Saccharomyces cerevisiae S288C: one gene and its partners. Changing the gene in region 1 together with any one later gene gives a genetic interaction. Each region holds a gene or a part of one and is shown in the gene's direction. Other genes may lie near its edges.

Evidence for each region.
Region 2: mutations in SWI4 (region 1) and SEC22 together harm fitness more than expected from each alone (negative genetic interaction), as found in Saccharomyces cerevisiae (5 studies listed by BioGRID).
Region 3: mutations in SWI4 (region 1) and UME6 together harm fitness more than expected from each alone (negative genetic interaction), as found in Saccharomyces cerevisiae (5 studies listed by BioGRID, with this or other methods).
Region 4: mutations in SWI4 (region 1) and RXT2 together harm fitness more than expected from each alone (negative genetic interaction), as found in Saccharomyces cerevisiae (6 studies listed by BioGRID).

Annotation. Positions count from the first base shown.
Region 1 is NC_001137.3:379,560-389,508, reverse strand, and holds SWI4 (SBF complex DNA-binding subunit SWI4), read left to right. Parts: upstream 1-3,632; coding exon 3,633-6,914; downstream 6,915-9,949. Other genes in the region: TMN3 (Tmn3p), read left to right, coding at 1-1,577; U6 snRNA complex subunit LSM4, read right to left, coding at 1,714-2,277; karyopherin KAP123, read left to right, coding at 7,406-9,949. UniProt on the Saccharomyces cerevisiae protein: Part of a complex involved in cell-cycle-dependent transcription. SWI4 and SWI6 are required for formation of the cell-cycle box factor-DNA complex. The repeated element in the upstream region of HO (5'-CACGAAAA-3') is called the cell cycle box (CCB).
Region 2 is NC_001144.5:678,596-685,621, forward strand, and holds SEC22 (SNAP receptor SEC22), read left to right. Parts: upstream 1-1,604; coding exon 1,605-2,249; downstream 2,250-7,026. Other genes in the region: BOP2 (Bop2p), read left to right, coding at 1-1,329; DCS1 (5'-(N(7)-methyl 5'-triphosphoguanosine)-(mRNA) diphosphatase), read left to right, coding at 2,591-3,643; CMG1 (Cmg1p), read left to right, coding at 4,142-4,966; condensin subunit YCS4, read right to left, coding at 5,077-7,026. UniProt on the Saccharomyces cerevisiae protein: Nonessential SNARE involved in targeting and fusion of ER-derived transport vesicles with the Golgi complex as well as Golgi-derived retrograde transport vesicles with the ER.
Region 3 is NC_001136.10:862,291-871,416, reverse strand, and holds UME6 (DNA-binding transcriptional regulator UME6), read left to right. Parts: upstream 1-3,894; coding exon 3,895-6,405; downstream 6,406-9,126. Other genes in the region: cysteine-rich palmitoylated domain-containing protein CPP2, read right to left, coding at 116-343; YDR209C (uncharacterized protein), read left to right, coding at 1-381; MSS4 (1-phosphatidylinositol-4-phosphate 5-kinase), read right to left, coding at 854-3,193; EBS1 (Ebs1p), read right to left, coding at 6,709-9,126. UniProt on the Saccharomyces cerevisiae protein: Component of the RPD3C(L) histone deacetylase complex (HDAC) responsible for the deacetylation of lysine residues on the N-terminal part of the core histones (H2A, H2B, H3 and H4).
Region 4 is NC_001134.8:433,906-437,688, reverse strand, and holds RXT2 (Rxt2p), read left to right. Parts: upstream 1-1,990; coding exon 1,991-3,283; downstream 3,284-3,783. Other genes in the region: ubiquitin-binding serine/threonine protein kinase VPS15, read right to left, coding at 1-738; YBR096W (uncharacterized protein), read right to left, coding at 976-1,668; PBY1 (putative tubulin tyrosine ligase), read right to left, coding at 3,392-3,783. UniProt on the Saccharomyces cerevisiae protein: Component of the RPD3C(L) histone deacetylase complex (HDAC) responsible for the deacetylation of lysine residues on the N-terminal part of the core histones (H2A, H2B, H3 and H4).

The DNA of each region.
Region 1 (9,949 bases):
GTTTCATAGATCCTGATACAGATAAAACCTATCTGCATAATCACGTAATGCTGGTAATACGTTTTCATGCCAGTGATAATGATAAAAATACCATAGTCGGCTTTGAAGTATATCCAAGATCTGTGTCAGATTATCATTGTCCTGGGGCATCGAAGAACTACGAACAATACGAAATAGTCATTCCTGAGGATGAAAATGAGTTGACATATTTGCCATTTACTTACTCCGTATATTGGAGGGAAGAATTTGAAGTAGACTGGAATCATAGATGGGATTATTTCTTGAACGCAGGTGAGTTATCTGACGAACAGAGCATTCAGTTTCATTGGATGAGCTTAGCCAATTCAGTGGGAATTGTATTGTCCATCTCATTTATCACGCTTATTATTTACGTACGAGTCATGTACACGGATAAAAGTAATTCAAAGTCCCCCAAATACATGATAAATATAGAAGGAATTGAAACAGAGGATGACCTGGACGATGACAAGTATGGTAAATACTCCGTTTACACGGTGGCGAAAGACTGGATACAAAATGGTAGACCAAATTTATTTGGTTTAAAAGTTTTAATCCTTCTGGTCTCATTTGGGGTGCAATTTTTATTTACCATAATTGGATCCTTAACGATATCATGTTCAATGAACAAATTGCATAATGTAAGAAACAGTGTGCTAACTATGGCCATTTTATTTTTCGTACTTGGAGCATTCATGGCATCATTCGTAGGGACAAGACTCAGTATGGTAACGAAAACGAAAAGAACCAAGGCCAATTACCTTGACGATAACAGATACCTCAAAGACTACAAGAAGTTTAGTCCCATTTTTACGATACTTTGTGGGTCCAGCTTACCTGGCATTGTAATGGTGAGCACATTTTTATTAAATAGTATTGTTTGGGCACATGATTCTACAAGTGCATTACCATTCAAGACTATTGTGTTTTTCATGAGCATTTATTTCATCGTCTGTATACCACTCAGCTTGTTTGGTGGTATTGTAGCTAATAATATACCTTTGCCTCAATATTGGTTGAGTGGAATTACTAAAGATGAAAGCAATAGCGATGGCAATGGATTATTTGTACCTAAATCACGAGCCAAGTTCAACCCGTTGGTTTACTGCGGCATTTATTTATGTGGTATTTTCCCCTTGTTAGTAATTTACGTGGAAATGCAATACGTTTACAAATCTCTCTGGTTGGAGAAAACTACATTTTATTATTTTTACGGATTCCTTTTTTTGAGTATCATACTATTATGCGTGTTAACTATGGAGATATCAATTATTGGAAGTTATTTATTAATGAGATTTTGCTTCGAAGATAAGGTGGTTCGCAACAATTGGAGATGGAAGTGCTTTGAAATGGGATTTAGCGGTGGTGTATATATGGAATTGTATTCGCTATATTACATTTTCGCAGTGCTAAACATCCATGGGTTTTCATCTATCTTAATTTCCATTTGTTATAGTTTAATCTTCAACGTAATGTGCAGTTTAGGGCTTGGCGCATTAAGTTACTTAACGGCTTCATGGTTTATAAATAAAATATACCACCAGAAAGTCAACCTGTAAACTAAAGGAAAGCTCGGTAATAAAAAGAAGAAAAGCTTTTTTTAAAGAAAACGGTAATCAACATTCACATACACACACAGTACATATGTACCAATATATTTATATATGTACATAATTATTATAATACAAAATTTGTTTAAAATTCGACCTTTTGTGGAGAAGAGCTGTTAAAATGATGTTGGACGGACCCACCTAAACCATTGTTCATATTTTGGTTGTTGCTATTGATACTGTTGATACTGTTGTTAATGTTACTGCTGTTGCTGTTGTTGTATTGACGGTTTTGAGAGTATGGACGGCGGTTGCTGTTGCCGTTATTATTATTTCTTCTGTTGTAGTTACCTCTATTGTTGTTTGAATCCCTATTGTTGTAGTATCTTTTATGCCCAGGGCCGTTACTATTAGAGTTATTGTTGGAGTTAATTTGCTGCTTGACCTTGTCAATTATATTATCTTGCAATTTGATAAACTTGATAAAAGTCCCTCTAATATAAATTTCGTTCAATTTTACGGCTTTACTGCTCTCAGCATTGTCTTCTGAATTAATTGCGCTTTCTTCACTATATTCGGTTACATTAGATAAAGTAAGGTTCATCCAGTTATCTACGTTGGTCAATATCCCTTGTATAATTTCACCGTTTTTCAATTCTATTTGCATTTGTTGTCCCTTCGCATTTGTTAAAAGATATAAAGGTAGCATTGAGAAAAAATATTCTATTGTGTTTCTTTTCAGTTCGAGTTGAAGATTTATCAGTTTTTCAACTCTGTTTTACTAATACTACTTCGTTAATTTACTTTTACGATTTCCTTCTTTACCGCTTCCATCATTAGGAAGGTCTATGATACTACGATTTCACGAAAGAAAGCTGCAATAATTGAACATCATTGCTACTCCGTAAAACATGATAGTAAGAGTGCTTATCACGTGACACGTGTGCGGCAAATTTCGTAATTGATGATCAAAATGCGTGTGGGCGGCTACAATGCGGAATTTGCCTTTTTCATAGTACAGGAAACTGGCGGTAAAGGAAAAGTAGTACTTTAAACTCATTTAAAATTACTTATCACTATGAATATCTTTAAATTATTGTTATACATAATAAACTATCTATTAAAAAAAAGATGCTACCCAATTCACGTTGTCCATGGTTATTTTAGAGCCTAAAAATAAAAGGCAGTAGGTTTAGAGGGACTTCAGTACAAGTAGATAACGAACGAAGCAATTACTCTGTGTACGGTGGCGGAAAAAATGAAATGTTACTTAAGAAGGAGGTAATATAAGTACATTACATTTCAACCGCATTGTGACTGCGTACTTTAAACGATAGGTGACTGCGGATCTTAGGTCGTTTAGCAGCATACGAAAATTAGTTTTACTAAACTAGACATCTAGTAAAAGGCTGTCGAAATCTCTCAATTTAAAGAGAACCTGCTACTGACTATAAATTTTGTCACTACAAATTATTGGTTTAATCTAGCCTTCATTATGGATACAATTACCTTCGGCGGCTAAAAACAACTTGATTTTGTTACCCGCGTTTGAAGTGACGCGTCACTAACCATGACGCGAAAGTTAATTATATTCAGCTCCCCGCCTGCTTATTTCCCGTTTAGGAAATAAATGGTTAACCTAACAAAAAAAAAAGAGGAACAAGGACTAAGAAGCACGTCAACGTGAAAAACGCACAAAAGATATTATAGTTATTGCCATCCTTTAGCATTGGTTTAGCATATCAACTAATTGACTAATATTTGCTGCTAAATTCAACTGGAAGCTTTTTTTTTTTTCGAGATAATAAAAAAAGAAACTCTTTAGTGTATTGTGTTATTTTTACTATTAATTGTTGTTACAGCAGAATCACATCTAGCATTGGTCGTCGCTTTTTCAAACGATTCTTCCTCCACTTACCCTTTGAAAAAAAGGTACATTATTTCACGTTATTTGATATATTGTCAACAATAATTGCTCTTTGCCGAAAATTAACTCTTCTTTCTTTCTCATTTCCCTTCTGTCCCTCTTGCGTAGTTCTAAAAGGTTGATTTATTCGAGAAATCATGCCATTTGATGTTTTGATATCAAACCAAAAAGATAATACCAATCACCAGAACATCACGCCAATATCAAAATCAGTTCTTTTGGCGCCTCATTCAAACCATCCAGTGATTGAAATAGCTACGTATTCAGAAACCGATGTATACGAATGCTATATACGTGGGTTTGAAACTAAAATAGTGATGAGAAGAACTAAAGATGATTGGATTAATATTACCCAGGTTTTCAAAATAGCTCAATTTTCGAAGACGAAAAGAACTAAAATACTGGAAAAGGAATCAAATGATATGCAACATGAAAAAGTTCAAGGTGGGTATGGTAGGTTTCAAGGTACTTGGATCCCACTGGATTCAGCGAAGTTTTTAGTCAATAAGTACGAAATAATTGACCCTGTGGTCAACTCCATCTTAACTTTTCAATTCGATCCAAATAACCCTCCACCAAAGAGAAGCAAAAATAGTATATTGAGGAAGACTTCGCCGGGAACGAAGATAACTTCTCCATCGAGCTACAATAAAACACCAAGAAAAAAGAACAGTAGTTCATCAACATCGGCTACAACTACAGCTGCGAATAAGAAAGGCAAGAAAAATGCATCGATCAACCAGCCGAATCCAAGTCCTTTACAAAACCTTGTTTTCCAAACTCCTCAACAGTTCCAAGTAAATTCATCAATGAATATAATGAACAATAATGATAACCACACCACGATGAATTTCAACAATGACACAAGACACAATTTAATAAATAATATTAGTAACAACAGCAATCAATCTACTATTATTCAACAACAAAAATCCATTCATGAAAACTCTTTCAATAATAATTATTCGGCAACTCAGAAACCTCTTCAATTTTTTCCAATTCCGACAAATTTACAAAACAAGAACGTTGCTCTGAATAACCCTAATAATAATGACAGTAATAGTTACAGCCATAACATCGACAATGTCATTAACAGCAGTAATAACAATAATAATGGCAATAATAATAACTTGATCATAGTTCCAGACGGACCTATGCAAAGCCAACAACAACAACAACATCATCATGAATATTTGACGAATAACTTCAATCATTCCATGATGGACTCCATTACAAATGGCAATAGTAAAAAAAGGAGGAAAAAGCTGAATCAATCTAATGAACAACAATTTTACAACCAGCAAGAAAAAATACAAAGGCATTTCAAATTAATGAAGCAACCCTTATTATGGCAATCCTTTCAAAATCCAAATGATCACCATAATGAGTACTGTGACAGTAACGGCAGCAACAATAACAACAACACTGTAGCATCCAATGGCTCCTCCATTGAAGTATTTTCATCAAATGAAAATGATAACAGTATGAATATGTCTTCACGATCTATGACACCGTTCAGCGCAGGAAATACTTCATCTCAAAACAAGTTGGAAAACAAAATGACAGATCAAGAATACAAGCAGACGATATTAACAATACTATCATCGGAAAGGTCTTCTGATGTAGATCAAGCGTTGTTGGCTACTTTATATCCGGCGCCCAAAAATTTTAACATAAATTTTGAAATTGATGATCAAGGTCACACTCCACTCCATTGGGCTACAGCTATGGCGAATATTCCTTTGATAAAAATGCTAATTACCTTAAATGCTAATGCATTACAGTGTAATAAGCTCGGTTTTAATTGCATCACAAAATCAATTTTCTACAACAATTGCTACAAGGAGAATGCTTTCGATGAAATAATATCCATCTTAAAAATATGTCTTATAACTCCCGACGTAAATGGAAGATTGCCATTTCATTATTTAATTGAATTGAGCGTTAATAAGTCCAAAAATCCAATGATAATAAAATCTTATATGGATTCGATAATATTGAGCTTGGGTCAGCAGGACTACAATTTGTTGAAGATATGTTTGAACTACCAAGATAATATAGGGAACACTCCACTGCATTTATCTGCTTTAAACTTGAACTTCGAGGTTTACAACAGACTGGTATATCTTGGTGCGTCAACAGATATATTGAATCTAGATAACGAATCGCCTGCGTCAATAATGAATAAGTTTAATACTCCGGCTGGCGGGTCAAACAGCAGAAACAACAACACCAAGGCAGATCGAAAGTTAGCTCGAAACCTTCCTCAAAAGAATTATTACCAACAACAGCAACAGCAACAGCAACCACAAAACAATGTCAAAATTCCAAAAATTATAAAAACTCAACATCCTGATAAAGAAGATTCTACTGCAGATGTCAATATAGCTAAAACAGATTCTGAAGTCAACGAAAGTCAATACCTGCATTCCAACCAGCCAAATTCTACAAATATGAACACTATTATGGAAGACTTGTCGAATATTAATTCTTTCGTGACGTCGTCTGTCATTAAAGATATAAAGTCTACGCCGTCCAAAATTCTTGAAAACTCTCCCATTTTATACAGAAGAAGATCACAGTCAATATCAGATGAAAAAGAAAAGGCAAAGGATAATGAGAATCAAGTTGAAAAGAAAAAGGATCCCTTGAATAGTGTGAAAACTGCCATGCCATCATTGGAATCGCCTTCTTCCCTTCTGCCGATACAGATGTCTCCACTAGGAAAGTACTCAAAACCGCTTTCGCAGCAGATCAACAAATTAAATACAAAAGTTTCTTCTCTACAAAGAATAATGGGTGAAGAAATTAAAAATCTGGACAACGAAGTAGTAGAAACCGAATCCTCTATTTCTAACAATAAGAAGAGATTGATTACAATAGCACATCAAATAGAGGATGCTTTCGATTCCGTATCAAACAAAACTCCCATAAATTCGATATCAGATTTACAATCAAGGATTAAAGAAACATCGTCAAAGTTGAATTCTGAAAAGCAAAATTTTATTCAAAGCTTGGAAAAATCTCAAGCTTTAAAACTGGCTACAATTGTCCAGGATGAGGAATCAAAGGTTGATATGAATACTAACTCAAGTTCACATCCAGAAAAACAGGAAGATGAAGAGCCAATTCCAAAGTCAACGTCGGAAACTTCTTCTCCTAAAAACACCAAAGCGGACGCCAAATTTTCTAATACTGTACAAGAATCATATGATGTAAATGAGACGTTGAGACTAGCAACGGAACTAACTATTCTACAGTTTAAAAGAAGGATGACAACATTGAAAATAAGCGAAGCTAAAAGCAAAATTAATTCATCGGTGAAGTTAGATAAATACAGAAACTTGATTGGTATCACAATTGAGAACATTGACTCAAAATTGGACGATATAGAAAAGGATTTGAGGGCAAACGCATAAATTTTAATTCACAATGTACCAATAATTTTTACTATATTATCAGAGTTTTTAAATTTTTTTTTTTTTTTTTTGGTAGCAATTTTTTACATATTTGTATAGTCACTTTTCTCATTGCGCTTGAGTTGCTTCAAGTGCATGTCAACAAACATTTGAACTACTAAACTTAGACTATTATGGTTAGCCCTTTGCTAATTATCAGGATGTCTTTTATTACGATTGTGCTTTGTTTTCGTACAATATGATGAATGGAAAGCGCGATGAGATGAGGTCGAAAAAAAAAAAAAAAAAAAAAAAAATAGAAACATCCACTTATCCATAGATCCTTCATTTTATTTGTTGTCAGGTTTGGTATTGATTTTATTAGTCAACAAAAAAGAATAGGCAAGACCCCGCAAGGATCCTTCTTCTCGTTTCTGTATATTACCAAAATCCTGCCTTAGCAGCATAAAAACTGAGGGACGAAAAACACTTTTTTAGTATCAAGTAGTATAATGGATCAACAATTTCTAAGTCAACTTGAGCAAACTTTGCACGCTATCACTTCTGGTGTAGGCTTGAAGGAGGCTACAAAAACTTTGCAAACTCAATTTTATACCCAGCCTACAACTTTGCCAGCTTTGATTCATATTTTGCAGAACGGCTCCGATGATTCGTTGAAACAACTAGCTGGTGTTGAAGCTAGAAAGTTGGTTTCCAAGCACTGGAACGCCATTGATGAATCCACTAGAGCCTCCATCAAAACATCTCTTTTACAAACAGCATTTAGTGAGCCAAAAGAAAATGTTCGTCATTCCAACGCTCGAGTAATTGCTTCTATTGGTACTGAAGAGCTAGATGGTAACAAATGGCCAGATTTAGTCCCTAACCTAATCCAAACTGCTTCTGGTGAAGACGTTCAAACAAGACAAACTGCCATTTTTATTTTGTTTTCTCTGTTGGAAGATTTCACCTCTTCTCTATCTGGCCACATCGATGACTTTTTGGCTTTGTTCTCTCAGACAATTAATGATCCATCTTCTTTGGAGATCAGATCATTATCTGCCCAGGCTTTGAACCACGTTTCTGCTTTGATTGAAGAACAAGAAACCATCAACCCTGTTCAAGCTCAAAAATTCGCCGCCTCAATTCCATCTGTGGTTAACGTTTTAGACGCAGTTATCAAGGCCGACGACACCATGAACGCTAAATTAATCTTTAACTGTTTAAACGATTTCCTGCTATTGGACTCCCAATTAACAGGAAACTTTATTGTGGATTTGATTAAGCTGTCTTTACAAATTGCTGTTAACAGTGAGATTGACGAAGATGTTCGAGTTTTTGCTCTTCAATTCATCATATCTTCATTGTCCTACAGAAAATCGAAGGTTTCTCAAAGCAAATTGGGCCCAGAAATTACTGTTGCAGCTTTGAAGGTGGCTTGTGAAGAGATCGATGTTGACGATGAATTAAACAACGAAGACGAAACAGGCGAAAATGAGGAAAATACACCCTCTTCTTCTGCTATTAGACTGTTAGCTTTCGCTTCCTCTGAACTGCCACCATCCCAGGTTGCTTCCGTTATTGTTGAACACATTCCAGCTATGTTGCAATCCGCAAACGTTTTTGAGAGAAGAGCTATTCTTTTAGCTATTTCCGTTGCTGTTACTGGTTCTCCAGACTACATTTTGTCTCAATTCGACAAAATTATCCCTGCCACCATAAACGGTTTGAAGGATACTGAACCGATTGTTAAATTAGCTGCTCTGAAGTGTATTCACCAATTAACCACTGACTTACAAGACGAAGTTGCCAAATTTCATGAAGAATACTTGCCATTGATCATCGATATCATTGATTCTGCGAAAAACATTGTCATTTACAACTATGCAACTGTTGCTTTAGATGGTCTGCTTGAGTTCATTGCTTATGATGCTATCGCTAAGTACTTGGATCCATTAATGAACAAACTATTCTATATGTTGGAAAGTAATGAATCATCCAAGTTGAGATGTGCTGTTGTTTCTGCAATTGGTTCCGCTGCTTTTGCAGCAGGTTCCGCGTTCATTCCATATTTCAAGACTAGTGTTCACTATTTGGAAAAATTCATCCAAAACTGTTCTCAAATTGAAGGTATGAGCGAAGATGATATAGAACTAAGGGCCAACACTTTTGAAAATATTTCTACTATGGCCAGAGCCGTCAGATCAGACGCATTTGCCGAATTTGCCGAACCTTTGGTTAACTCCGCCTATGAGGCCATCAAAACTGATTCTGCTAGATTAAGAGAATCTGGTTATGCATTCATTGCAAACTTGGCTAAAGTTTACGGCGAAAATTTTGCTCCTTTCTTGAAAACTATCCTACCAGAAATCTTCAAGACACTAGAATTAGATGAATACCAATTCAACTTCGATGGTGATGCAGAGGATTTAGCCGCATTTGCTGATTCTGCCAATGAAGAAGAACTACAGAACAAATTCACCGTTAACACTGGTATTTCCTATGAAAAGGAAGTTGCTTCTGCAGCTCTATCCGAATTAGCATTGGGTACGAAGGAGCATTTCTTGCCATACGTCGAACAATCCTTAAAGGTTTTGAATGAACAAGTCGATGAGTCGTACGGTTTAAGAGAAACCGCTCTAAACACCATCTGGAATGTTGTTAAGTCTGTCCTGTTGGCTTCCAAAGTAGAACCAGAAAGCTATCCTAAGGGTATCCCAGCCTCTTCCTACGTTAATGCTGATGTTTTGGCGGTTATTCAAGCTGCCAGGGAAACTTCCATGGGTAACTTAAGCGATGAATTCGAAACCTCAATGGTCATTACCGTTATGGAAGATTTTGCCAATATGATTAAGCAATTTGGCGCAATCATCATCATGGACAACGGCGACTCTTCTATGCTAGAAGCTTTGTGCATGCAAGTTCTTAGTGTCTTGAAGGGTACCCATACTTGTCAAACCATTGATATCGAGGAGGACGTTCCAAGAGATGAAGAATTAGACGCTTCTGAAACCGAAGCAACTTTACAAGATGTTGCATTGGAAGTTCTTGTCAGT
Region 2 (7,026 bases), on another chromosome or scaffold:
AAACTCATAGAAACCTTCTTCCCCTTGGCGAATTCCAATTCAAACATAATCGAGTTCGTATTCTGTGTTCGCAATATAAAGAGTTCGTTTTATTCACCTTTGGAAAAATTACATATTGCGAACATAGTCGCAGATATTGATATTAACACATTGTATCTGGACTTCGTGGATTCAAATATCTATTCGGATCAAAATTTCTTTGGGATTTTTGATCCCGATATTTTTCAGCTGATTAATAAAAACTATAGAAACTTCTTTTCTAAGACTAACGAAAAGGGGAAGAAAAGACCCCCCATTTGCAAGAAAATCTGTTTTCCCTTTGTTGAAACATTGAATTTGGATTATATGGCCCTTGATTCATTCTTTAATTCGATACTGCATAAACTAACAACAAAGATAAAAACATTTGAAAGGAACAATGAGTTTGACGTGGATAAAAATTTAAATTTAAACTCGACAACGACAGTAGCAGCTTTAATTATCAAGTCGATCTTGCAACAATTCTTCAACAATTTTCATATCAGCTTCCCTAATTTGGTTACCTTGAATTTTATTAAGATGTCTACCTACCCAAACAATAATGAGATTACCCAATGTTGTAACTTCATAGATTTATCTTCATATGTTCTAAACAAATGTTTAAGTGAGAATATCTCGATAAATTTCCTCTTTCAGTTGCACTCTTTGAAAAATTGGTCAATGCCCAAGATTAAAGAATTCACTGGGCACAAATTCAAGTATGACGAAACAACATTTTCAGGTTCACCAGAAAGGTACATCAAATCATTGAGGGGAAACATTAAAATTTTGCAAGAAATGGCAATTAACGAAACCAACGATGGTACTTGCTATTTCAGAGTCAAGTTGATACCTGAGGGGGTAGAAAAAACTCAAATAATCAACTGGATCCCCTTTACTTCTTCATTTAGCGATGATACCTTCAAACAAAGACACCATTTAAAGAGGCCAATGATTTGCTTGAAGAACAACTCTTTAAGATCGCTCACTGTCAAAATCATACGTATTGAAAAATGTTCATCCATCCGAATCCAGGGATTTTACCTACCAAATCTGCAGGAACTGTTCATCAACAATACCCTTTGCGACACCACCCAACACCAAAAACAAGCGTCAAATGATATGAGTTGTATAGAGTTCACTTCATGGAATGAACTACCACAATGCAAGAAATTGGGATTTGCTCAATTAGAGGACGACTCTAACTACGTTCTTAATATCAGTAACCTACAAGACCATTTACCAAATCTGGACCTGCGGGAGAGTTTCCCAACTTTCTTCGATATAAGACAGAAGTTTGTCGTGGTTTGAGGTCTAATTTTCAACCAAACGTGTTGTACTAGCATATATAATTAAATAAATTTCTCTAGTTATCACTTGATTTATCTAATAAGAGACGTCATAAACGAATTTTTTTTTAGCAATAAATCCTCAACGCTTTTTGTTTTCATTTTTCGGTCTTTTTCTACCATAGAAGATAAACAAGTAGAGCCCATGTAATATAATATATCTACAACCTATTATTACCCAAAACCAACAAAAACCCTGACAGTGACACCCCGTTACACACTCACAATTAAGTAGGGATGATAAAGTCAACACTAATCTACAGAGAAGATGGGCTGCCTCTTTGTACGTCTGTGGACAACGAAAATGATCCCTCATTATTTGAACAAAAGCAAAAGGTGAAAATCGTCGTTTCCAGATTGACACCACAGTCTGCCACGGAGGCTACTTTGGAAAGTGGCTCCTTTGAGATCCATTATTTGAAGAAATCCATGGTGTACTACTTCGTCATTTGCGAATCTGGATACCCAAGAAACTTAGCATTCTCATACCTTAACGATATAGCGCAAGAATTTGAACACTCATTTGCTAATGAGTACCCCAAGCCTACCGTAAGACCATACCAGTTTGTAAACTTTGATAACTTTCTACAGATGACAAAAAAGTCATACAGTGATAAGAAAGTTCAGGACAATTTGGACCAACTAAACCAAGAGCTTGTAGGTGTCAAGCAAATCATGTCCAAGAACATCGAAGACCTACTTTACAGGGGAGATTCTCTCGATAAAATGAGTGACATGAGTTCTTCTTTGAAAGAAACATCCAAAAGGTACAGAAAGTCCGCGCAAAAGATCAACTTCGATCTCTTGATCAGTCAATATGCTCCTATTGTCATTGTCGCTTTCTTTTTCGTCTTTCTCTTCTGGTGGATCTTCCTCAAATAGACGTCACCCCATCATCCCACATCACAAATCCCGATCAATTTGGTCCAAGTGTATAACATAGTCTAGTTCAGTATTAGTATAGTATGGCAATTTATTTGACATAATTACGTATTTTTCAGGCAAGCTGGCAGGTGACCCGCCGCACCTGCACTTTTTAGGGAGTCTTTTCAAGGATATCATCACTATATATCGAAGGAAAAGAGGCTTTCCAACTCTTTTGGATGATCGAATTGCCATCACTACTCTATTAACTGTCTGTGTATTAACTAAATAATCACATAGTATTAAGTTATAATTCCTGGAAAAAAAAAGAAAGCGAAACGACAAAATTAGCATATACCATGTCTCAACTGCCAACAGATTTTGCTTCATTGATCAAGAGATTCCAATTTGTTAGTGTCCTCGATTCCAACCCTCAAACCAAAGTTATGTCCTTATTGGGAACCATTGACAACAAGGATGCTATTATCACGGCTGAAAAGACGCACTTTCTATTTGACGAAACCGTGAGAAGACCCTCTCAAGATGGCCGCTCCACTCCAGTTTTATATAATTGTGAAAACGAATATTCTTGCATCAACGGAATTCAGGAATTAAAGGAGATTACTTCCAATGATATTTACTACTGGGGTTTGTCAGTGATAAAGCAGGATATGGAGTCGAACCCTACCGCCAAGTTGAATTTAATTTGGCCTGCTACTCCAATTCATATCAAGAAATATGAACAACAAAACTTTCATTTAGTCAGAGAGACTCCTGAGATGTACAAGAGAATTGTTCAGCCTTACATCGAAGAAATGTGTAATAACGGTAGACTTAAATGGGTAAACAACATTCTTTATGAAGGCGCTGAGTCAGAAAGGGTCGTTTATAAAGATTTTTCTGAGGAGAATAAGGACGACGGCTTCCTAATTTTACCTGATATGAAATGGGATGGCATGAACTTAGACTCTTTATATCTAGTTGCGATCGTCTACAGGACCGATATCAAGACAATAAGGGATTTAAGATATTCTGACAGACAGTGGTTAATCAACTTGAACAACAAGATTAGATCCATTGTTCCTGGTTGTTACAACTATGCTGTCCATCCGGATGAGTTGAGAATTTTGGTTCACTACCAACCTTCTTATTATCATTTCCACATTCACATCGTTAACATAAAGCATCCCGGTTTAGGTAATAGTATTGCCGCGGGCAAGGCCATCTTGTTGGAAGACATCATTGAAATGTTAAATTATCTAGGACCAGAAGGCTACATGAACAAGACAATCACCTACGCTATTGGTGAAAATCATGATTTGTGGAAAAGGGGTCTGGAAGAAGAACTCACTAAACAATTGGAAAGAGATGGTATCCCAAAAATACCCAAGATTGTGAACGGTTTTAAATAAAGGTTGTTAAAATTCTCACATCATCCACCTTTTTCCTACTCTCATTTTCTTTTTTTGAAAGTTGTTTGTTTTATATACCTTAGTTTCACAACAACATAAGGCATGCCTATTTGAGATTTTGTGATTAAAAAATAATAGAATACGTACTATATAACCGTCGGTTTAAAGTAAATAAATTAAAGACTAAGAATGAAACAATTAAAAACACTGTTCAATAACGTTGCTCTATCCTCCTGAGTCTTCCGGATCCTGTCTCCATTTTTTTGTGTGGTGACGAGTTGAGATAAAAAGATTTCCACTGCTGAGAATAATATCTATAATCGATAATGAAAGTTAGAACGATCACGTTGACTCTGAAATATAGTCAATAGAAAAAATTAGGTATCAATTCAATTGTAATATTTACTGGATTGAATTTAATTTAAGAATTACAGAATAAGAGGACGGACAATAAGAGGTACGCTACACATCTACCATCACTTTCAGGGAGGGCATAAAATGGAGGAGAGTAAGACAAAAAGAAAAGAGGATCGCATAGATTTGAAGAATACACCGCCTCAGAAGAAGTCAAAAAGAGATTCAACAAATGACGAAACTGCACGCACATCACTACGTTCAATCATGCCCAGGGGTTATAAAATGATGGAAAACATGGGTTACAAAGAAGGAGAAACATTAGGTAGTAATGAAAGTGCCCTAAAAGAGCCTATTAAGGTAGAAATCAATACAAAAAGGAGGGGAATTCGTGCAGAAAAGCCCGACCCATCAACAATGAATGACATGCAGATGAGTGAACAACGATTTATAAAAAGAGAAAGTGAAATGAAAAATAATAAGCGGTTAAAAAAAATTTGGTATAGGATCCAAAAAGTTGCTTTTGAAATGATGGGTGATTCCGATTTATACAATCCAGGCGAAGATCCGAGAGACTTTAACGTACTTTGGAGATCTTACGTTATGCAACTAAATGAGGAAGTAGCAAAAAATGACCTAAATAATCACAGTAACAATGATAATGAAGATAAGAATAATATGATACCAATGGTAAATGAAAGTTTGGAGGCTTCGCCTGCAATAAAAGGTGAAAAGTTTGGACGTCCTTCTACATTAATAGATTGTGATACTTCAATTATCGGTAGTCGCATTACAAAAGACACAGAACTTGCTGAATTAGAAGAATTGAGCATTGAAAAAAGAATAACAAAATTGAATATATTCCTGAGGTCCGAGAAGTACTACTGTTTTTTTTGCGGAATCAAGTATAAGGATGAAGGTGATCTCTACGAGCATTGCCCAGGAGTGAATGAAGACGACCACAAATGAATTTTATCGAGATAGGTAAAGTCATATTTCAAGAAGAAAGAAATGAACAGCTTTTATTTATATAATAACATATAATATAAAACGGAAGAAACGGGTAAACGTCAGTTCGATTATTCTTTTGCGGATACAACCTTGAAACCTTGCTCCAATAATGCAGTGACGTCTTCATTTTTGTATGGTAGATTGTTTAGTACGAATGCAATATCATCCCATTGCTTTTGGGTCTCGCACTTTCTCAGTCTTCCAACTAATTTCTCGTTTAATTGCTTTTGGTGCCGTTCCTTATCGATAAAAGTTAACAGAAATTTGATGATTTTCTTGAAACTCTCCTTACCCAATAAATCATCTGACGATAAATTACTAAAGATATCGATGAATCCATTATAAATGGCGTTGTCCTTGGATGCTAACTCGGTGAAAAATAATCTGCACATATCACTTATTCCCTGGTCTGGATTGTCTAGGCATTTGGCCATTTCTCCTAATTGTCCTTTAACCTTAACCTGTCCAGCTAAAATCAAGAAGGTAACTGTCATTAAACATGTTCTTTGTACCATTAAGTTTTCATCATGCAAACGGCGATACAAATAATCTGTGTTTTCGTCTACTAAGTTGTTGAAGCATACTGCCATGTCACCTAGTCCTAAGACAGCATTTGAGCGAATAGTAGGATCAGGAGATTTTTCCATTACTGTGATTAATAGCGGCAGGCTCTTTTCACAATATTTTGATGATAAACACATTAGTTTTTCTAGACATAAGGTTGCCGTTCTTTGAAGCATTGGATCGCTAAACCTGCTTGAATTAGAAACAATCTCTTCTACAATTGGGCAAAACTTCCCTAATATAGATTTTTCTCCAAATAGTAATTCATTCTCTTTTACAAATTGAATAGCATCCGTGAAATCGTCCTCATTAGTACCTCCTATCATTTCTAGCTCTTTATCACCACCGTTATCTTGTGTGGTGTTAGTTACATCTGCACCTTGGTTTTTTACTTTACCGTTCCGAGTTTCTGCCTCGATCTTTCTTTTCTTGAATTCTGCCTCACATTTCTCTAGATAGACAAGTGTTTTAATTGCCACTTGTCCTACAATGAATAATAATTGACTGAGAGAAACAACTCTAGATGATTGTTCTAACGACAAAATAGAGTCTTCCTCTTCAGGTTTACCAAATGTCATCATTGTCTTTTCTCTAATCAGATCTGTAGCTAGTATATCGGGCTTAGAAGAGATTGTAAACAGTGCACTAAGCGCTTGTTCGCACATAGGATAATATTCATTATCCTTGGTATAGTTGATAATTATGGCATACAACTTTTTCACTGCAACATCTTCAAGCTCTTGATTTATTGCCTTGGTAATAATAGTGCTTCTCTTGGGAACCATTCTCTCTAACGCTAAACAAGAATACCGACAAAGGGTCAGATCTTTTAAACCAACGGCACCAAGTCCAATGTTTAAAAGTGACTCCAGTCCTTTTAATGCTATTTCGTTATCGGCTAACGATAACATTCCTAAAATAATAATAGAACCATGAATTTGTTCCTTAGAAAACCCTTTTTCGGAGTCACGGTTGTTCACATTTTGTTCTTTCTGCATACTGGCCTTCGATGCAGAATTGTAAATAGCCCAAAGGATATTAATGACATGTTGATCAATCAATTTTTGTTCATACATCATTCCTAATAGCTGTTCCAAAGAGGCCAAGTCTGCAATAGATGCGCCGATGCTTAGATTAATTAAATTTTTGGCAATATGTGCCGCCTTCTCCTGCATATTGCAACTATCTGGCGCGGTTAAAAATAGCTGCTTATAACATTCTATCAAATGTACTGATATACTCGTTCCTTCATCGTTTGTGCCCTTCATCCAAACCAAATGCAGCATTTTTTTTATACCAAATTCGCTTAACTCAATGTCAAAAGCGTCTGCTAAAACTAGGAAGTCCATTGATTCTAAAACTTCGTTTCTGTTCTTAGAAAACAGCAAATTAGATATCAATTCAATACTCTTGTGTATCTCTTTAATGAAACTAATGGCATCTTTATAGTAAAC
Region 3 (9,126 bases), on another chromosome or scaffold:
GATCCCATCATATTATATACATTTTTGCTTAAAAGTAATTATACAGTCTTTCGCAGCATAGATGAAAGGCTATGTGATTTCGTTTTTTATATTGACCACTTCTTGAACAAACGAATCAGTTATCGCATACCAATTCTAATAAGAAACAACAACACAAACATTTTAAACAACTGTCCAAGCAGCTTTCCTCCTTTGGTTGACCTTGTTGGACATAGACTGGTTGCTGCTGAGGATAACCCTGTTGCGGTGGACCTTGTTGATAATAACCTTGTTGTGGTGGACCTTGTTGATAATAACCTTGCTGTGGGGGTCCTTGTTGGTAGTAACCTTGTTGTTGGCTCATTAGTTTTCGCTCTTTTGACTTGTTTCGAAGACGGATAGTCTCCCTTTGCCTTTCTTTATTTTTATTCTGGCACTTTAGTTTATATAACGTTGCAGTTCACCATCGGCCTCGAGCAAAAAAAAACAGTAGAAGGCAAAGCAAAGTAAACAGGCAGTAAGCGCAAAGAAAAGTTCGTACAGATATAATCGAATTTTCTCGTTTTTTGACATTTCGTATCCTCTTAAAGCCGCTTAGCCACACACTGCGGAAGAGATATGGCATGGTTCCGAACAATTAGGTTTGGAATAGGGTCTCGCTGAATTATTAGCTAGCGTGGCTTATGCAAGCCTGACGTGGCCTGAGAATATGGAAAAAAGAAAAAAAAAAAGCAAAAATAGAAAATAAGAAAAGGATTGAAATTAAAATATTAAAATTAAAGGGAAAAGAATAGATTTATATAACTTGAATTAAATTAAATCAAAGTAGATTAGACTGAGTACATAGACGATAGGTTATTTACCTGTGCCCTACTCAGTCTTTATAATTTTTCTGGTTAGGGTCGTCTCTATACGACGATTGAGTTTTTTTCTGGGGCAGAGGATCTACAGAATCTTCTATGAATTCGTAAAACCTATTGGCGTAGTCTCTTGGAGGTATGGCACTCACCAACTTGGTATCATGGCGTAGACTTCTCCAAAACGTTTCTAATTTCTTCATAACTGAGTAATTAGTCAAGAAATCGATTATCCCCACGTAATAAATCAAATCCACATCATTGTTGAATTGATCAGATGCTCGAATTCCACCTTCAAACTCTCTAAAAAAATGTCGTACTACCGTTCCGGTACCGGTTCTTATGGGTCCTTGAGTCTGTGGTTGCTCCTCAATAGATGCCGTATCCGCCAATTGTAAGTCGTCTTCTTTAGCTTTATTGATGTCATGAATGCCAATTAACAAGGAATAGTCCATTGTATTCAATTTAGCAAGCAATTCCACATCTTTTTTCAGCTGTGTCAAAAAAGTCTTCTTCTTCAATGGACCGAATTTAATTTTCTGACCTTCTTCAAGCCAATTTAAATCTTTCATCACAGGCCTATATGATCTATCTTTCGCCAACCTTTCTTTATCCAAATTGGTAAAACGGCCCCATGTGGAACCTTTTAAATCATAAGTAATGTGAATGTCTAAGTGTGGTGGAAATAAGTTATTCATGACTAGGAAGTAAATTTTCCGATGCTTAATTTTATTTTGAAACGATATAGGCATTTTCACTCTATGCAAACCATAAAATTGACAAATCAAAGTGTTTGGATTGTCTCTTACATGGTTATAGTATTCTTGTATGTGCTTTCTCAGATGAATATGCTCAGAATGATGTATGGTCTTGATAATATATTTGTAATCTCTCGAATAATAAAAAAATGAACCACTTTTACCTGGCGAGTTCAACTCACTCAAAATGTACTTGGAAGTTAACGAAACCAAATAATCAGCAGGGTCTAAGCCGAATAATGCACGAAGTTCCCTAAAGACTTCGGGACAGTAGTCCTTAAACTTAAATGCATACTGAGAAGAAGGGGTCAATTCATTTCCGTGATAATCAAAGGCAAGCTTCTTCGTAAATCTAAAGTCTGCCGGAGTTAAAGGTTTCATTATGCCAGAACAACGTGACACTGCGACACGAATACCAGTTAGCATGTTATAAGCTATAATAAAGTTGACATGGCCTTCACTGACTTTATTACCGATCAAAACACGATCGTCATCCACCAAAAATGTTTTTCTTTTCCTTTTCATTTCTCTTTTATGCAGCAAAGATTGTCTCATCTTCTTAATTTCTGCCGTTGCAGACTCTGATCTTTTCAGACCCGTAGCAGCGGTAGTAGTAGTAGTATTATTATTAACAGCAGCAGCATTAGCAGCGTGATTATGGTTGGTGCCACGACTGTGTTGATAGTAGTGGTCATTCTCTGGCGGCAAAGAAGTGGTTGATTTGGATATCATATGATATTGCTTTGACTTTTGAGAAGGTTGTGGAAGTGGGTGAAGAGGCAAAGAAGTCATTGAGTGACTAATTTTAGTAGCAGAATTTGGTTTCATGCTGGTATCTCCATTGGCCAATTTTATTACATCTGAATCATCCATAGGTAGAATTTGAGAATGCTTGGAAGCGTGAAAGGGAATATTGGGCAGGTTTGAATCCTGAGTATTTCTTCTTTGCTTAATTGTCGTGGAAGTTGCTGTTACTGCCGATATTCTGGAAGATCGCCTCGAAACGCGCTTGTTTAGTAAAATATGATCGTCATTTAAGTCTTGTATATACGAATCTGTGTGAACAAGACTGGAATTGTCCAAATCCAAACAATTATTCGAGTTTAACGAGGGTGTTGTTATTTTCTTCGACTCCTTACCTTCGGGAAAACTATATTTCTGCATTTCCTTGTTACTAGTGCTATTTGGTCGGGGAGAAGTTATGGTGTTTGGATGATCATCATCCGTATTATTATTGCTGTTGTCATGCAAAGGATCAATTGATATTGAGTAGTTTCTCTTCACCAGCCTCGAATTATTTATTGTTGGGTTTAACTCTTCAATAGAGGTCGGAGTGGAAGACTCACCATCTGACAAGCGAGGACTTTCCATGTTTGACTCCGAATTCGATGAAGAATGGTAGCTAGTGTGATTATTGCGATCCTTTTTTATTCGATGGTTCGAATCCGGATTCGAATTCGAATTCGGCACCGAACGGTCTTGATGTCGCTCAATTATTGCAGAGTGCAATAGCGATGGTTCCTGTTCTGTTTTGCGACTGGTGGATGTTGTCAGATGTAGCGGTACAACTGAAGGAGGTTGTGATCGCAAGACTGACATGAGTTAGAAACTATTGATAGGGAAAAGCGATATAGGGCAACTGTCTCGGGGGGTGTAAACAGGTTTCGTACTCTCTTGCTTATGAATGTGCTACTTCTTGTTCCTATTTTTTGTTTCTGTCCTTGTTTTTTCTTTGCTTGTCCCTCCGTATTTGCTTCTTTGTTGTCACGCTTTTGTTATTTCCACCTCTATCTTTCCTCTCTGTCCCATTCCCCATCCATTCCTTTCTTTTTTTTTTTAACCTGTGTTTTGTTTTCCCAGAATGGGCGGCACGTTCTTATGTCCGTAAAAACGGATATACAAAAGCGACACGTCGTCTGAGGTGACACTCCACTCAACCCCACTTGCCCAAAACATGCATTGCTACAAGTAGTAGAGCGCAGTTTTTAAAGTCCATTGGTTGCACACGAAATCACGAGAATAATCACGAGAATAGAATGCACGTTGGATTTCGGGCATCCTATAATTGCCAAGACTGCGCTACTTCTCTTCTGTTTCGGTCCGGGTGACACGTCCGCCGTGCTTCAAGGCGCCTTTTCACCAATGCCAGGCGGAAACTGCCGCCGTCAAAAAGAAAAATGAAAAGAACATAGAGGACAAGGACAAGAGACCAGTGATCGTAAGAAGCGCCCACCTTCGCACAGCGCACAGGAACTAGGACACTACCGCACTCAAACCATTTGCATGGACCTTAACTCACGATGCTAGACAAGGCGCGCTCTCAAAGCAAACACATGGACGAATCTAATGCGGCTGCCTCTCTGCTTTCGATGGAAACAACCGCCAACAATCATCACTATTTGCACAATAAAACATCTCGTGCCACGCTGATGAATAGCAGCCAAGACGGCAAAAAACATGCAGAAGATGAAGTTAGTGATGGAGCTAACTCCCGCCATCCTACAATTTCCAGTGCTAGCATCGAATCTCTCAAGACAACCTACGATGAAAACCCTTTGCTTTCTATTATGAAATCGACATGTGCGCCCAACAACACTCCCGTGCATACTCCGTCTGGTTCGCCGAGTTTGAAAGTCCAAAGTGGCGGAGATATCAAAGACGATCCTAAGGAAAACGATACTACTACTACGACCAATACTACACTTCAAGATCGCCGTGACAGCGATAACGCTGTGCATGCTGCCGCCAGCCCACTCGCGCCTTCCAATACACCTTCGGATCCTAAGTCATTGTGCAATGGCCATGTCGCACAGGCTACAGACCCACAAATTTCCGGTGCTATTCAGCCGCAGTATACTGCAACCAACGAGGATGTTTTCCCTTACTCCTCCACCTCCACTAATAGTAACACTGCCACTACTACTATCGTCGCCGGCGCCAAAAAAAAAATACATTTGCCGCCACCACAAGCTCCAGCGGTTTCTTCCCCCGGTACCACCGCAGCAGGCTCGGGCGCGGGCACGGGCTCGGGCATCCGTTCCCGCACAGGATCGGATTTGCCGCTCATCATTACCAGCGCCAACAAGAACAACGGTAAGACTACCAATTCGCCTATGTCGATACTGAGCAGAAACAACAGTACCAACAACAACGACAATAATTCGATACAAAGCTCAGATTCGAGAGAATCCTCTAATAACAATGAGATTGGCGGGTATTTGCGCGGCGGAACTAAGCGCGGCGGCAGTCCATCTAACGACTCTCAGGTCCAGCATAATGTGCATGATGACCAATGTGCCGTGGGCGTGGCGCCCAGGAACTTCTATTTCAACAAGGATAGAGAGATAACAGACCCAAATGTAAAACTGGACGAGAACGAATCAAAAATCAACATATCGTTCTGGCTAAATTCGAAATACAGAGATGAGGCTTATTCTTTGAATGAATCATCCTCCAACAATGCTAGTTCAAACACGGATACGCCTACAAACTCTCGACATGCGAACACCAGCTCTTCCATTACCAGCAGAAACAATTTCCAGCATTTTAGGTTCAACCAAATACCTTCTCAACCTCCAACTTCCGCATCTTCGTTTACAAGCACAAACAACAACAACCCTCAACGGAACAATATCAATCGCGGTGAAGACCCGTTTGCCACTTCGTCAAGACCTTCTACTGGGTTTTTTTACGGCGATTTGCCGAATCGTAACAATAGAAATAGTCCCTTCCATACAAATGAACAATACATCCCACCACCTCCACCGAAATACATCAATTCTAAATTGGATGGATTGAGATCAAGATTATTGCTCGGTCCGAATTCTGCATCTTCATCTACCAAACTAGACGACGACTTGGGTACAGCAGCAGCAGTGCTATCAAACATGAGATCATCCCCATATAGAACTCATGATAAACCCATTTCCAATGTCAATGACATGAATAACACAAATGCGCTCGGTGTGCCGGCTAGTAGGCCTCATTCGTCATCTTTTCCATCAAAGGGTGTCTTAAGACCAATTCTGTTACGTATCCATAATTCCGAACAACAACCCATTTTCGAAAGCAACAATTCTACAGCTGTTTTTGATGAAGACCAGGACCAAAATCAAGACTTGTCTCCTTACCATTTAAATCTAAACTCTAAAAAGGTTTTAGATCCCACTTTTGAGTCAAGGACAAGGCAAGTTACTTGGAATAAGAATGGTAAGCGAATAGACAGACGCCTTTCTGCTCCAGAACAACAACAGCAACTGGAAGTTCCACCATTGAAAAAATCGAGAAGGTCAGTTGGAAACGCAAGAGTAGCAAGCCAAACCAATAGCGATTATAATTCTCTTGGCGAATCCTCAACTTCGTCAGCTCCATCGTCTCCATCTTTGAAGGCTTCTTCTGGCTTGGCATATACCGCTGATTATCCTAACGCTACTTCGCCGGATTTCGCTAAATCTAAAGGAAAAAATGTCAAGCCTAAGGCAAAATCAAAGGCGAAACAGTCATCAAAGAAAAGACCAAATAATACTACTTCGAAATCAAAAGCAAACAATTCTCAAGAATCGAATAATGCTACTTCCTCAACGTCTCAAGGTACAAGGTCCCGTACTGGTTGCTGGATTTGTAGATTAAGGAAAAAGAAGTGTACCGAGGAAAGACCGCACTGTTTCAACTGTGAAAGGTTGAAATTGGACTGTCACTATGACGCGTTCAAACCAGATTTTGTATCTGATCCAAAGAAAAAACAGATGAAACTGGAGGAAATCAAGAAAAAAACAAAAGAGGCCAAAAGAAGAGCAATGAAAAAAAAATAAAAGCTCACTGAAAAAAAAAAAGAGATATTGTTACTATTATTATTATTATTACTGTCATTAATACTATACTAATAAAGAAAAGGAAAATACGCATAATAATATTTAATTAACAATAATATAACATATATATATATATATATATATGTATGTACTACCATGTAATTTCAAAGACTTTCAAAAGAAGTTATACGTCAATTCTCGTGTACAAATCAGTCAAACTGTAATTCATTCGTACTGATAAGCCAAATTTCTACCTAGTATTCATATGAAGATTTGAAAAACTATGATAAAAAACGAACAATATTAAAACATATTATTCCGACTGTTTCCCCTCATGCTGTCCGTGTTGCTTTGGGCGTCAAAAGGAAATTGCATGTACTTCCCCACATCTTGCTGCATAGGTTGTTGAAACATTTGCCGTTGCGCTTGCGCATATGCTGACGACGGCGCAGATGTCTGGTACTGGTCACCTAGCCACGTTGGATTTGCAAAATTCATTGACTTTAATGAGTAAGCTTCGCTCTGCCATTGTAAATTTTGTGCATTATAAGGCGGAAAGACCCCTTGCCCCTGCTGGTTCAAAAAAGGATAGGGATAGGATACCATGGAGGCAGATGGAGGCATCGAGGCATTCTGATACGCGGAGTTTAATGAAGACATCGATGAAGGTTGCTGTGATGAATACAGACCACCTTGCATTGGCCTCTGGGCTTGATGGCAGACGTCATTCGCTGGAATTTGTTCATTCACCCCTTGCATGGATTTGGCAAATGATTTTTCCGCGTGCTTTTGTTGCATTGAAGATAGGATGTTGTTCAAATCGAAGGATGATTCATCTGTCGAATTTGAAGAAGAGATCGCTGCGTTACTGTAACCAGGAGATATATTCGTAATAGCGCCATCGGCGTTTTGACCGCTTAGTTCGATTTTTAACAGTTCTACATTTACTTTGTTCCCCGTTATTGTACCGCTGGGCTTAACATTGAACGTATCTGGGGCCATAGGTACAGACGAACCACTATAACCCATAGTTGGAGAAAAAGAATCCAAAGAGCTACTTCTCATTTGTCTCTCCAAATCCGCCATGGATATTGAGCCATTAGTGGTCGAAGGTTTGTTTTTTCTTTGTAACTTGGCCTTTTCATTGGATTGCTTCGATGTCTTCATACTATTTTTAACGGTCTCCTTAAATCCAATTTTCTTATTAAAGATATAACGTGATTTATTATCTGACCATTCTACTCCGCAGTTGTTGTTCTGCAATAATTGCGAACTTATATTCACAACAGCCTGCAACCTTAACAGCATTTCAGATGATGCCGATAACTTGTCGCATAATGGCGGATTACCAATTAATCTATCGAGACTATGATCCATTTCAAGAATTTTTTCATAATCGTCAAAATCAGATAGTTGAAAGTTAACGAATGATAAACCCTTCACCATTAAGTCTTCTTCGAACCAGTATGTCCTTTTAGGAATATGTTCTGTTATACTAAAAGAAGGACTTGGTTTTTTTTTCACAATATCATTTATCAAGTATGCCAAGGCATTAACAAACTCTAGATTACTTTGTGAATATTGAAGAACCATGGGATTTGCTTTTATCCAACAATTGATAATTCTTACCATACCTAGAATTTCTGAAACCTCAGGATTTTCGCTCCATGATTCCTTAACGATATCATTTAAAATGTGAGCAATATACTTGAATGCAAAATTTAGGTAATCCAATTCATTGCTACGTAAATCCTTCAAGGTTTTTGCACTTACATCGGAACGCCTTTTTAATAATAGATGGAACCCACCAATTGTAATGATCAAATTGTGAAAGATGGTCTTAATATTATTCAGGTATCTTGCTGACATCGTCTCGTAGAGTGCATTTTCCAAATGCCTTAACTTGATACCGTTATTTAATTGGTTAGGTTTTGTATCATCTCTCCAACTGGTAGGTGACCAAACAGACCCAAAAAGGCCCAGGAAATAAAATTCTAGTATCTCTTTAGCAGGTGTCCTGGGTCCTTTAGATTCTTGTAAGTAAGTGTTCATGATAGTAGTATGCAAGCTACGATTTAATGAACTTTTATTGTCCACCATTAATGCCCCAAAATTTTTGATTGAAACAGGGCTTGGCATCTTCGTCATCATACCTTTAACAAAATTGAATACTGCAATCCCCAAATTTCCTGTTTGAAGGAATATCGCTCCTGCTTGCGAATACGTCTCACCAGCACTTGGTAACACCAACGAAGCTAAACGAAAGAAGTCCAGAGATTTTTTAAAATTGGATATGCTGTATTTATTGGAAATTTCTTCGAGGAGAGTTTTATAACGATACGCTGTTCCTAAGAATAAGAGACAGCGATGGAAAAGCGTTGGGATGAGATGTGCGAGTGGGCTACTACTATTAAATGTCTTCACCGCAAGAATGTCTCCAACATTAGTGGTATTTTCGATGTCACTTAACTTTAAGTCTTGGATAATCCTTTTCGGCAAAAGTACAGATATATCATATTTCTTATAAACCGTGTTGATAACGTTGACATAGAAGTTTTGCACCGTTTTGAAGAATTTTAACATCTTCGAATTCATCTTTCTAAAGTCGATAAATTTGGTCTGCTGTTTTTTATTCTCCTTCTCAAAAAGAATATAATTCCTCCACATCTGAAACCATTTGAATATTGGATAGTGAACGCTTTCCCAAGAAAAATCTAAAAT
Region 4 (3,783 bases), on another chromosome or scaffold:
TAGCTGTGATAAGTTGAAGATGGGTCTTCCTTCAGCAAATATTTCTGCAATAACACATCCAAGACTAAATATGTCCATTTCTTTAGTTAGCCTACCATTGTTAGATTTTCCATCTTGGTAAAGTTTAGAGTTAAACCTCTCCGGGGCTAGATAACAGGTTCTTCTCTTCGAGGTGTCGAAGTAGAATAAAAATTCACCTGGATTATCTTCAGGCAAATATACGGGTTTGATAAATGCAGCAAAATCTGTCAATATACACCAATTCCAACTTGTTACTAGGATATTTTCTGTCTTTATATCACCATGGACAATATTCAGATTATGAATGTCCTTTAATGCATTTAACAACTGGAAAGCAATGAATTTCAGTTCAATGTCTTGTAAGTAAGGTCTCAAACTCAATCTGTCATATAAATTATTTTTTAAGTGCTGCCGTATCATGTAGCCGGCTCTATTTGTCTCGATCAATTTACTGTAGTTTAAAACGTGCGGTAGTTGTCCCAACTTAAACGATTGAGCCCTTATACGTTGGAGAAAAGGTCGTAAGCTATATTGGTCTTTTGGTTTAATAAACACTTTGATAACAATTTCGCCGTTAGGGTCCAGTGCCTTGCATGTTTTTAAGAATCTTGATGAGTTTAACTGTGAAACGTAGTGTACTTCCTCTAAGACATCGATATATGAAAAAATGGCTATGGAAGGTGATGCTTGGACCACTAGTGATAATTGTGCCCCCATTATACTGTATGCCTTCCTTTTTGATAACCTTACAGCTTTTGTATTTCTCCAATTCAACTTGTCTGCTTAAGTATCTTACTTAAGATATATCTGTTTTTCATTTTTATGATGTTGAAAAATAAGGGAAATTTACCTTGTTTTCTACCGAAGATAAAATATAACGCAGACTGCACAGAGAAACTTTTGAAAGAAGATAGATTTATATATTTTATAATACCGGCTATATGTGTATAGAAGTTAGATTTCTGAACAGTACTCTTGGCTCAAGTTTTCCAATGGTACTGTCTCGTGGAAACCACAACGCTCGGTTAAAAGCTTTAGATTGTCCTCAGAAATTTTGGCGACCTTCTCATTATATAAACCACAGTATTCAAGAGCATCCTTTGGTTTGATGGTCTTTCTACCGTCCTTAAGGACGTATTTGGTCAATGATAATGAGCATAAGACGGTGCCCTTTTTAATTGTGAATCTACTCATGACGTAAATCCATTTCTCATCCCAACAGATAATCCTTGATGAAACCGAGTACTTTTGAAAAGGCTTGATTTCCTTCAAGAAATTAGTGAAAACGTTCGCAACTGGAATATATGGATAATGCTTGGAATTCAGCATCAATTTTTGAAAAATCTTGCACATGAGATTACCTCTTGAAATGTCCAATTCCGCAAAATAGGTGCTATTGCTCTTATGAAAGTAGAAGTCACATTCGAATGGAGAGGCATAGGTATCTAGGCTGGTGTACGAGAAACAGCCATATTCATTTTTCTCAAGTTTCTTAATATTCTCGGTTTCAAACCCTGTAAACATAGGCAAGAACAAGTTTTGAATAACATAATAATAAAACCTAACAAAATATGCCCCAGGAAGCGACTTATATGAAGAGAGCAAGTAAGCAGCAAAGAGCCACCTAAAAATAGTGCAAACACCCATTATTCTATTATTTTATTTTGTTGTAGATATTGGAAAGCACTAGTTACTCGAGAAACCTTTTGGAAGTCTTGAAATTAGAAGCAATTGTTTTACAAAATTACTAAAAAGCCTTTAAGCGGATAATTATAATGTTCACTTTATAACGGCGTTATTCGAAGATCATTATTGTCTCCTATACCCAAGAGGACCGAAGCCGGGTAGCGAACTTTGTTCTGGTAAAACAATCGCTTTCAAATAGAAGAAACGTTGCTTGATGACAGCATCTCCTGCAAAAAAGAGGTTGAGAAACAAATATCTCAGCTGTTGCTTCTTGTTGATCGAGATGACTATTAGGAGCAGTATGAAAAACAACGCAGAATTGGAAAGCAAGAGTGTGTTAGCTAATGAATCGAATATAATTAGCACATTTACTAGAAGGATAATAAAGGAAAAAAGCGGTAACTATCAGGTACTGAAAAGATCCCTTGATGGAAAACTAATCTATCCTGAGGCCACTGGCATATCCTCTAACAGAGGTAACAAACTTTTGCAGAGAAGCGAAGTAGTAACAAGAAGAGACTTGAACAATTCTAAGCCAATGATTGAGCAAACTGTGTTCTATAACGGTTCGGAGCATCGCCTTCTGCAAACAAATATTGTCACTGATAGTAGACGCAAAAGAATAAAATTCACACCTGACATCAACGTCGAGCCTGTTTTAGTCGGTGATGAAAACGACATCGATGGTAGTGAGAAGGAAGACGAAAATATCACTGATGAGTATTACGGCGAAGAAGACGATGACGACCTATCAAAACTAGTGAATGTAAAGGAGATTTTGACTCCCATTCTTTCCCTAGGGGATATAATAAATCATAAAACTATCTCAAGGACATTTTCAAGCCCAATTTTGAAAAATTTAGCCTTGCAAATAATTCTAATGATTGAAAAAGAACAGATGTCAGTTGTTAGATATTCCCAGTTTTTGGAGGTTTTTTTAGGAGATCATCCTGAACCAATTTATGAATCTAACTTGAACCTACCATCTTATAATCACAATTTGACCCTTCCAGAGGATAGAGGGGCAAGCGACGAGGATGACATTAACAACAAAAACAATATCAACGAGGTTAACTCGAATAGTTTGTCTACTGAAGCTGGTCATATCAATAATGGCATGGAAGAATTTGGAGAGGAAGATCCTTTTTTTGCATTGCCAAGGTTGGAACAATCTAATGCGCTGTTATCGTTGCTGCCATCTTCTTCCGGTTCTGCTTCTATATCAACATTAACAGCGGCCGAACAACAACAGTTAAATGAGGAAATTGAGTCTGCCCGACAGCTGTCGCAGATTGCACTACAGAGGAATAAAGAATTCATAAGAAACTTACAAAAAATCAGAAAGTCTGTAATAAAAGCCAATAGAATAAGAGGTAGGATTTTAAATTGGAGTCGGGAATATTTGGGTATATCTGACGATGATATTACTATCCCGGTGGCTCTACGTGTTGTGAAGAGAGGTCTGATCAGTGCTACAACAAATAAGACAACAAATTTTGAGGAAGAAATTGAAAATACCATGGAAGACGGTGTTGTAGACGATAATGAACCTGATGAAGAAGCTAATAGAGCCTAAATTGACAAAACAAAAAATTTCGGAAATAAAATCAAGGCATATGTATTATTTAGCACTATTTAGTAATAATAACAGTATTTTAGGATGGGTTCTTTTTTTTTTTTTGTTTCACCAACCGTTTGAAGTGTAATCAATGACTTTTACGAAGTTCGGGTCTGTTTCATCATCTGTCTTATTTCTATTCTCGTTAAAGATGGGGGTAACACAGTATTTGACAGTGTCATCAAATAATTCATCAATGAGGTTCTTCAAATCTTTCCCAGTTTGTTTGAAGTCTGGGAAAGCGTTGATCTCTAGTAATTTAACTTCGTAATTCGAATCAATCAAAAAGTCTACGCCATATGTTTCAAATGCGTTTGGTAACGGTTGGAAGTTTAATCTATTTACATTTACAGCAGCTAAGAAAACGTCGTTCGTTATGCTATGGATTTGCTCCTTAATATTGGACTTTCTCTCATTTGGAATTTCCTCTATGGAGTCAAACTCCAAAACAGAAGAAT